Oryctolagus cuniculus: one gene and its partner. The protein of the gene in region 1 interacts with the protein of each later gene in a pairwise test. Links are inferred from orthologs where the notes say so. Each region holds a gene or a part of one and is shown on either strand. Other genes may lie near its edges.

Region 1 (3,797 bases):
CAATCTCAGTGGCCTGGACTCCCCCTTCAGGTGTTCAGAGCCACCTGCTCCTCTGTGACCGCAGCTCCCTACTGTCCAGCCCCGAAGGCCCTTGCTCATTCCCACGGCCCACCCCAGGGCCCTTGCTCCCGCCCATTCTCTCTTCCTCGCACGGCTTGCTCCCACAGCTCACATCTGTTCACCTCCCCAGCAGAACTGCAGCCCAACTCAGAGCCGGCCATTCCTGCTCTGTGCCTGCGGCCTCCAGTGGGTACAGCTGGCGACCCCAGGGTGCTCACCAGCCTTGCCGGCCCTGGTGCCGCCTGATGTCCTTGCCCAAAGCTGGTTCCATCTCTCACTCTAGCTCACCTGCTCAGAGCGTCGAGATACTGAAGACTGGCCTGTCCCACCTGCTGCCTTGCACAGGCCCCTGGCCGTGTCCCTTGTCCCCTTTGGGCTTGTCAGATAGCGGATTGGCAGGTGTTCCTCACGCCCGTGAGGGTGACTTTAACTTCACTCCTGCCTCTTTTTCTGACTCACACTTTTCATTGCTGGCATCTGGGGATTTCGCTTGCTGTTCCACAAACTTGACCGTGACTTCAAAGGTCTTAAGAACGGCCCTTCCAGCAGTTTCAGGCGCTCTGTATTGTGAGGCCACAGCTGCTGGCAGTGGAAGCCTTACACACTGCCCGAATCTGCTCCTTCCTCCCCTGCCCTCCTGAGGAAGCCATCATCTTCACCTGGGCCCAGCCCCTCGCCCAGCTGCTGCCTGAAGGCTCTGTTTAAAATGCAGCCCCAGGGGCAGGTGTTTTGCCTGGTCTTTAAGCCTCCCACATCCCCCATCAGAAGGCCTGGGTTCGGGACCTGGCTCCGGCTCCTGACGTCAGCCTCCTGCCAGTGCAGACCCTGGGGAGCAGTGCTGGCTCCCGGTGGGACTTGTTACCCAAGTAGGAGACGTGGGTTGAGTTCCCAGCTTCAGCTGCAGCCAGGAGCCATTGTGGGTATTCAGGGAATGGGCCAGCAGATGGGAGCTCGCTCTGTGTCTCTCAAGTAAAAATTAAAAGCATCCTAGCCAAGGATTCCCGGTCTTGCACTGTGAGACACGGCTCGAGTCGTGTGCACCTCTGCTTTGTTCTGGACAGCGCCCAGCAGCCCGGGCTTCCCCACACGGAGTCTGCTGTATTCCCCTTTGCTTTTGGTCATTTCCGGTCTCCTTTGGGACTCCTCTTGGACTCTGCAGAGCCAGCCCTTCCTGACTGAGCCCTGCTCTGAGCTGTGGGTGCCCCCTCCCTGCTGTCCTCAGCACCTCCTCCCCTGCACAGTGCATTTGAATTGCTACTCTGCCCCCACCCTCTCCACTGGCCCTTGAACTCTGAGGTCACTGGCTTCTGCACCCTTGGGTGTGCTGCGGCCAGCCAGCAGCCAGCAGCCGTCCCATGGCACGTGTTCTGCAGGAAGAGCACCGCGAGGCCAAGCTGACCCTTCGGCCCCCCAGCCTGGCTGCCCCCTACGCCCCCGTGCAGAGCTGGCAGCACCAGCCGGAGAAGCTCATCTTCGAGTCCTGTGGTTACGAAGCCAACGTGAGTTCCTCCCCACCGCCGTTTCCCGGCCAGGCCTCTGGAGTTCCGAGTCCAGGCTGGCCCTCGGACCCGCCCAGGCCCAGGCCCAGGCCCAGGCCCGGGGCTCAGAGGCTGTTTTCTCTGTTCTTCAGTGCCTCCCCGCAGCATAGGGGCCGGGGTAGAGAGCTCTGGATGGGCTTAGCCAGGGGAAAGTGGAGGCCTTCCCAGCCTGGGCAGAAGGGGGTTCGCTGGGTTGTGGGACAGCCCCAGATTGGCGGGTCACACTGGACAGTAACACCCGAGTCCTGAGCCCAGCCACTGTTCGCTCCCACAGTATCTGGGGTCCATGCTGATCAAAGACCTGCGAGGGACAGAATCTACACAAGACGCCTGTGCCAAGATGCGGGTAGGCTGGAGCACGCAGGGGCCAGCTAGGGCAGGAGGCCGCAGGCGGGAGCACCGTGCGGCGGATGGGAGGGAGGCCGGGGCTGGAAACCAAGGCGGTGAAGGGACATGCACGGGCACCCCTTGTTCTCTCCAGAAATCCACTGAGCACATGAAGAAGATCCCCACTATCATCCTGTCCATCACCTACAAAGGAGTCAAGTTCATCGATGCCTCCAACAAGGTGCGCTTCTCCTGAGGCCTGTAGACAGGCGCAGGGGCCTTGTCGTCACAGTGATGGGGCTCCAGGGCCAGCCACCCGGATGCCCCTCCTCACCCCTGGTCTCAGAGTGCCCCTGGGTCCCTGTCATTCTCATCCCACCACCCTTGCCAGGTGCTTGCCTATCTTCTACCCTGGGCCCTGCCACCTGCCTCTTTCCCCACCCTAGTCAGCATGGCTTACCTGCTTGCAGGCCTTCGGTGAGCAAAGGCCCCTCCCCGCGCCATGCACTACCACTTGGGGTGCCACCGTCCTAAGCCCCTTCCCACCTCGCCCCTACCCTGGAGGCCGGAGGGGCTAGAGAAAGCTCAAGATTGGATGTGAACACTTTACTGCCTTAGTAGCTGTGGTCAGAGGCAGAGAGCCCGCACCTGAGTTGGGAGAGGTGGAAGTGGGGTTTGGCTGATGCACTGGGTGAGACAGAAAAGGCGATGGAGATGGTAGAAGCCTGGGCGGTGGTGCCGGGGCTGGGCCTGGGGAAGGCGGGGGTCCCAGAGCGCTTCCTGCCCGCAGAACGTCATCGCAGAGCACGAGATCCGCAACATCTCCTGCGCGGCCCAGGACCCCGAGGACCTGTGCACCTTCGCCTACATCACCAAGGACCTGCAGACCAGCCACCACTACTGCCACGTCTTCAGCACAGTGGACGTGGTGGGTGGCGCCCCGGCCCCGGCCCCGGCGGGCACTGAGCACACGCGTGGTCCACGGAGCAGGCCTGCTGCCTCCCGGGCCGGTCTCCTTCACACAGGGGTGAGGCTGAAGCACGGAGGCGGCCAGGGCTGGCCAGGGCCTGCGGGGCAGGGGTTTCTGAGGGCTGGCGAGGCCTCTGTCTCCCCAGGGCTCTGTGCCCGGCCCCGTGGCCCTGTCCCGGCAGCGCCCTCCCGTGCAGGTTTCCTTCCTCACATTTCTTCTCACACTCAGCCTGGGGCCTGTGGGGACTCTGCCCGGAGACAAGGCCCCACGGCCCTCCGGGAGAGCAGCTACTTCAGAAGCTCTGTGGCTCCTGGAGTACTCAGCTCTCAGCACCCCCTGCAGCCCAGCCTCCTGCTTGCTCTGGGCTGGCGGGGTTAGGAACCGGGTCTGGCATCAGACACCTGGCTGTGCCCCTTGCTGGCTGTGTGACTTGGGAAACACTTGTGGCCACTTCCTCATCTATTCAAAGGGAAATATGAGGGACTGCAAAAGGGTTTTGGAAAATGAAATTAAAAGGTAAGTTTATTTTTGGTACAAATCAGTTGAAATCCATGCATAGTTTTTATATAATATGCATTTTCCATGAACTCTCTGAAGACTTGTGTAGCCAACCTCGCGGTCGGGGAGGCGGGGAAGGCCTGGAGATGGAGGGAGGTGACCCACGCCGCACGCACAGTCCGTGGCCCTTGTCGTGTGCTGCCCGCTCTGTGTCGTATGTGCTCCTAAAACTCACCGTGCTGCATAAACCACACAGAAACACCATGGGGCTTGTGGGTAAGGGGTTAGGGGCACCAACTGTCAGTGACACAGTACAAAAAAGGCACTTAAAAACACTCACACTATTGTATTAAATGGTTACAAAATATGTAACTAGATACTGCAGCACACGCACCGCCTTGAAG
Region 2 (4,341 bases), on another chromosome or scaffold:
AGGACGCGGGAGCAAGGGCAGTAGGGACAGCAACTGGGCAGGGTCAGCCCTTGACGGGAGTGGCCTTCCTGGACAGGTGCTCATCTTCGCAGAGAAGAAGGCCGACGTGGACGCCATCCACGAGTACCTGCTGCTCAAAGGGGTCGAGGCTGTGGCCATCCACGGGGGCAAAGGTCAGGGTGGCACATGCATGGGCACAGACCCTCACCTAATCCCCTGCCCTGCCTGGCCAGCCAACTCGCTGCTATGCCCCAGATTCCTCCCGTGGCTCTGACAGCTCCAACCCACCCCCCAGACCAGGAGGAGCGCACCAAGGCCATTGAGGCCTTCCGGGAGGGCAAGAAGGACGTCCTCGTGGCCACAGATGTGGCCTCCAAGGGCTTGGACTTCCCCGCCATCCAGCACGTCATCAATTACGACATGCCTGAGGAGATTGAAAACTACGGTGGGGACCGGGGGCTGGGGGCAGCCCTGGCAGGGGAGAGGCCAGGCCCTGGGCTCAGGGCAGTGGGCCAGAGACGCCATTTCTCTCCACAGTGCACCGGATTGGCCGCACTGGGCGTTCAGGAAACACAGGTATCGCCACCACCTTCATCAACAAGGCCTGTGGTGAGTCTGTCTCCAGAGCCGCCTCAGCCCTGCCCCGGGCCCTCTCCCTGTGGCCACTCAGGTTCTGGCCGCGGGGCCCAGAGTGGGGCCTGAGGATTTCCCCTCGCGCCCGCAGATGAGTCAGTGCTGATGGACCTCAAAGCCCTGCTGCTGGAGGCCAAGCAGAAGGTGCCGCCCGTCCTGCAGGTGCTGCACTGCGGAGACGAGTCCATGCTGGACATCGGAGGTGACTGGCAGGGAACCCAGAAACAGCCGGCAGGGGGCCCCGAGGGCCGGGACCCCACTGACCTTCCCCTGCACCCTCAGGGGAGCGCGGCTGTGCCTTCTGCGGGGGCCTCGGCCATCGGATCACCGACTGCCCCAAGCTCGAGGCCATGCAGACCAAGCAGGTCAGCAACATCGGCCGCAAGGACTACCTGGCCCACAGCTCCATGGACTTCTGAGCCGACTGCGTGCCCACCTTCTCTGCGAGAGGCCTCGGGGCCCCGGGCTCCAGCCCCCAAACAAGAAGCCAGCATCAGCCCGGCGGGCCTGGGCCGCTCCCTGTGCCCCCAGAGTTACTATTTTTGTTCCTCTTCACCCCAGCCGCCATTAAAGCGCAAGTTGTCATTTCTTCCCCAGCCTGTTTCTGTGTTTCACCTGGTGTAGGACCTTGGGCCTTGCGCAGGTCTCATCCTCCGACTCCCAGAAGCCCTCAGGCGAGGTGTGAGCCCCTTGAAAGGCCTCAGGCAGACTCCCCGCTGGGGGCTCAGGGTGTCTCAGGGCCAGGCCACATTGGTAGGCCGCAGGGCAATGGCTGGGTTCCGTGGTCTCCCTGGCAGTTTGTCAATCACCCCCGACCCCCATCAGCCTCACTCTTCCTGTAAGTTGCTCCCAGGGCTTCACCCCCCCCCCCCCCCCCCCCGGGAAGCTACCCATTTGGAAACCCTCAGCTCCATTTGCCAAGGAGGCATCTGATGGCCCAGGAATGCTTTCAGACCAAAAAAGTGCCCCGGCGCTGCCCCGTGCCCAGTGCTCTGTTGGCCTCGGCACCCAGGCGAGCCAGGCAGAGGACTGCTTGGGCTGCGCTCAGCTGAGCGGGGGAGACTCACAGAAGCGTGAGCATCGCAAGGCCGCTGGCCGGAGAGCCAGGACTTTGGCGAGAGGAGAGCAGACAAGCGGCGCCAGCCGGGCTGGGTTTCACCCGGTTCCCTAGTGCCAGGTTTTCTGTTCGCAAGGCCGCATGCTGATCCCAGCAGGACAGCTGTTGCTCAAGCCCTGTTTGTCACTTGGTGTGTGGCCTCGGGCAAGTTACTTAATTTCCCCGAGCCTTGGCTTCCTCATGGCTGAAACGGCCACGAGGGTGTGAAGGGCCTGGAGTCGGGCTGGCGGAGCTCAGTACTGCCCGGGCTCCTGTGGGCACACAGCCAGGTGGCCAGGACCTTCGAAACTGTGTCCTGGCTGAGTACACGACCCCAGGATGGCGTTCCTCAGCCTGGTTACAACATTCTTTCCCCTTGGTGACAGCCACACAGACCCAATATTGGCCACCAAGAAAGCAAGATGGAAAAAAAAAAAAAGGCACCCTGGGCAGGAAGCCACACTTAAAAAGTTCACGTGACCGCTTCTGGGGGCCACTGGGGACTACCACGCACGCCCATGTGGCTGGAGCCGCTCAGGTCTGGGTGCCTGAAGTGCCGGGTGGATACTATGACATCCTTTGTGTGCTGTCAAGACAGCAGGGAGTGATCAGGGAAGGCCTCCAGGAAGAAGCGGCAGGGTGAGCGATGATGCCCTGGGGGAGCTGGCTGGTGGGGGGGTGCAGCTGAGGGAGGTGGAGGTGGGACACTTGGCTGGCCAAGAGCTAGGCCGAAGGAGGGAGGTCAGGGTGAGTTGGGGCTGCTGGAGGCAGGCAGGCCCAGGTCACAGAGCAGAGCCATGGGGAGCTGCCGGGGCTGGCTGTGGGCAGGGCTGTGAGGAGCCAGGGGCTAGGCTGCACTGTGTACTTCAGAGAAGCAGAGCAGGACCCAGTATTTGTAGCAAGAGCCTTGGGGTGAGGGTAGGGCTGTGCCCTAGCTGGGGGAGGGTCAGAGCTGATGACTCAGGGGCACCAGCACCAGCACCAGCCTGTGGTCAGACGCTCACATGGAGCTGACCCAGGTGCGGCACAGGGGTCACTGCCTGAAGGTGATCTGAGGCTCCTTTGCCAGGCAGATGGAGGCACCTTGGGTCAGCCAGGACGCCCAGGGAGAAACGCGTGCGGCCCCTCAGCCCTTAACCGAAGGCTGGACTCCCCTCCCCCCCGGTCTGCAGCTGCTTCTCTGGACAGAGGGAGGGGAAGTGGCCAGAAGGGGAAGTGTGAAGAGTTCCTGTCCAGCCTGTCGCCTGTCACCAGTCTCCTCGGGTCTTGGGAGCAGCCCGTGGTCCGGCTGTGGCCATGGAGTCGCCAGAGACCCCGGTGAAAGACGGCCTCCTGTACCTGCAGCACGTCAAGTTTGGCAAGGTGCGACCCTGGCCGCCAGGCGGCCGCCCGGGACCAGTGGAGCCGGAGACCTCAGCCTGTGCCCCAGCCCCGCACCAGAGCTCTGGGAGGGAGGCCGGGTGGGGGAGTGGATGGAACCGGGGTCTTGGCCTGAGAGTGCTGCCTCTCTTAGGGATGGGGGAGCCATGCGTGGGGAAGGGTCTAGAACCAAACTCCTGCACAGAGGCAAAGCCTCGTGGCCACCTGAGCCACCTGGTAGGGGCCCTAGGGTCCCTGGAGGGCCGGGGGCTGAGCTGGGGGAGACCCTCGAGGTGGAGTCCCACCTGCAGAAGGGGCCCCCCTCCTTACAGCAGGCCCTGCACCCGGGCTGCTGCCCAAGCAGATAAACGGTTGCTTCCTTTGCTCGAGGCTATTTGCATGTTTCCATCCTGAAGCTGGGGCCTCCCCTCAACCCCAGCCCATGGCCCAGGTGTCCTTGCTTTGGTTGAGGTAGGGAGAAACTGACACCAGGGCAGGGTCAGGTGGCCTGCCCTGAGAATCCATGGCAGGGGGATAGGCATTTGAGGGACATGCGTGCACCCAGATACTTATGGAGGTCATAACAGGGGGCGGAGGGGAGGAGGAGGAGAGCCCTACTCAGCCTAGTCCTTGCAAGGCCTCCTTCCTGGTGCTCCCAGGGGAGGCAGAGGCAGCCTGGGTAGCCAGGAACGTTTGCTGAGCTGAGCCTCTCTCCACGCCTCTCCCACAGAAGTCCTGGCGAAAGGTATGGGCCCTGCTGTACGCGGGCAGCTCGTCAGGCGTGGCTCGACTGGAGAGCTGGGAGGTCCGGGACGGGGGTCTGGGGCTGACATGCGACAGGGCCACAGGACCCAGCCGGCGAGGGGAGCGCCGGGTCATCCGCCTGGCTGACTGTGTGTCCGTGCTGCCCGCCGATGGCGAGAGCTGCCCCCGGGATACTGGGGCCTTCCTGCTCACCACCACCGAGCGAAGCCACCTGCTGGCAGCGCAGCACCGCCAGGCGTGGATGGCCCCCATCTGCCAGCTGGCCTTCCCGGTGAGTGTGGGCAGGTGGACGCGTGCTCCGGGGGCGGGGGCGGGGGCGCTGGCTGGGGCCACCTCATCCCACATAGCCTGTCACTCAGCAAACACGTGAACAGCAAGGTTGGGAAGCAGCCCGGAAGCTGTACAGCGACCCTCAGCTGGAAGATAAAGAAGTGTAAGGTGGCGTTGGAGTTGCCAGGGGAATGCCAGGCAGGCCCCCTGGAGGAGGG

The links.
Region 2: the proteins of ANKS1A (region 1) and DOK3 interact in a two-hybrid assay, tested with the Homo sapiens proteins (2 studies listed by BioGRID and IntAct). The link is inferred for Oryctolagus cuniculus from reciprocal best matches to the Homo sapiens genes ANKS1A and DOK3.

Annotation. Positions count from the first base shown.
Region 1 is NC_091436.1:134,343,682-134,347,478, reverse strand, and holds part of ANKS1A (ankyrin repeat and SAM domain-containing protein 1A), read left to right. Parts: intron 1-1,433; coding exon 1,434-1,559; intron 1,560-1,872; coding exon 1,873-1,944; intron 1,945-2,079; coding exon 2,080-2,166; intron 2,167-2,715; coding exon 2,716-2,853; intron 2,854-3,389; exon of another isoform or gene 3,390-3,632; intron 3,633-3,797. UniProt on the Homo sapiens protein: Regulator of different signaling pathways. Regulates EPHA8 receptor tyrosine kinase signaling to control cell migration and neurite retraction.
Region 2 is NC_091437.1:63,501,488-63,505,828, reverse strand, and holds the start of DOK3 (docking protein 3), read left to right. Parts: upstream 1-1,525; 5' UTR 1,526-2,368; intron 2,369-2,798; exon of another isoform or gene 2,799-2,901; 5' UTR 2,902-3,025; coding exon 3,026-3,091; intron 3,092-3,818; coding exon 3,819-4,124; intron 4,125-4,341. Other genes in the region: probable ATP-dependent RNA helicase DDX41, read left to right, coding at 77-173, 296-445, 538-609, 725-835, 916-1,052. UniProt on the Homo sapiens protein: DOK proteins are enzymatically inert adaptor or scaffolding proteins. They provide a docking platform for the assembly of multimolecular signaling complexes. DOK3 is a negative regulator of JNK signaling in B-cells through interaction with INPP5D/SHIP1.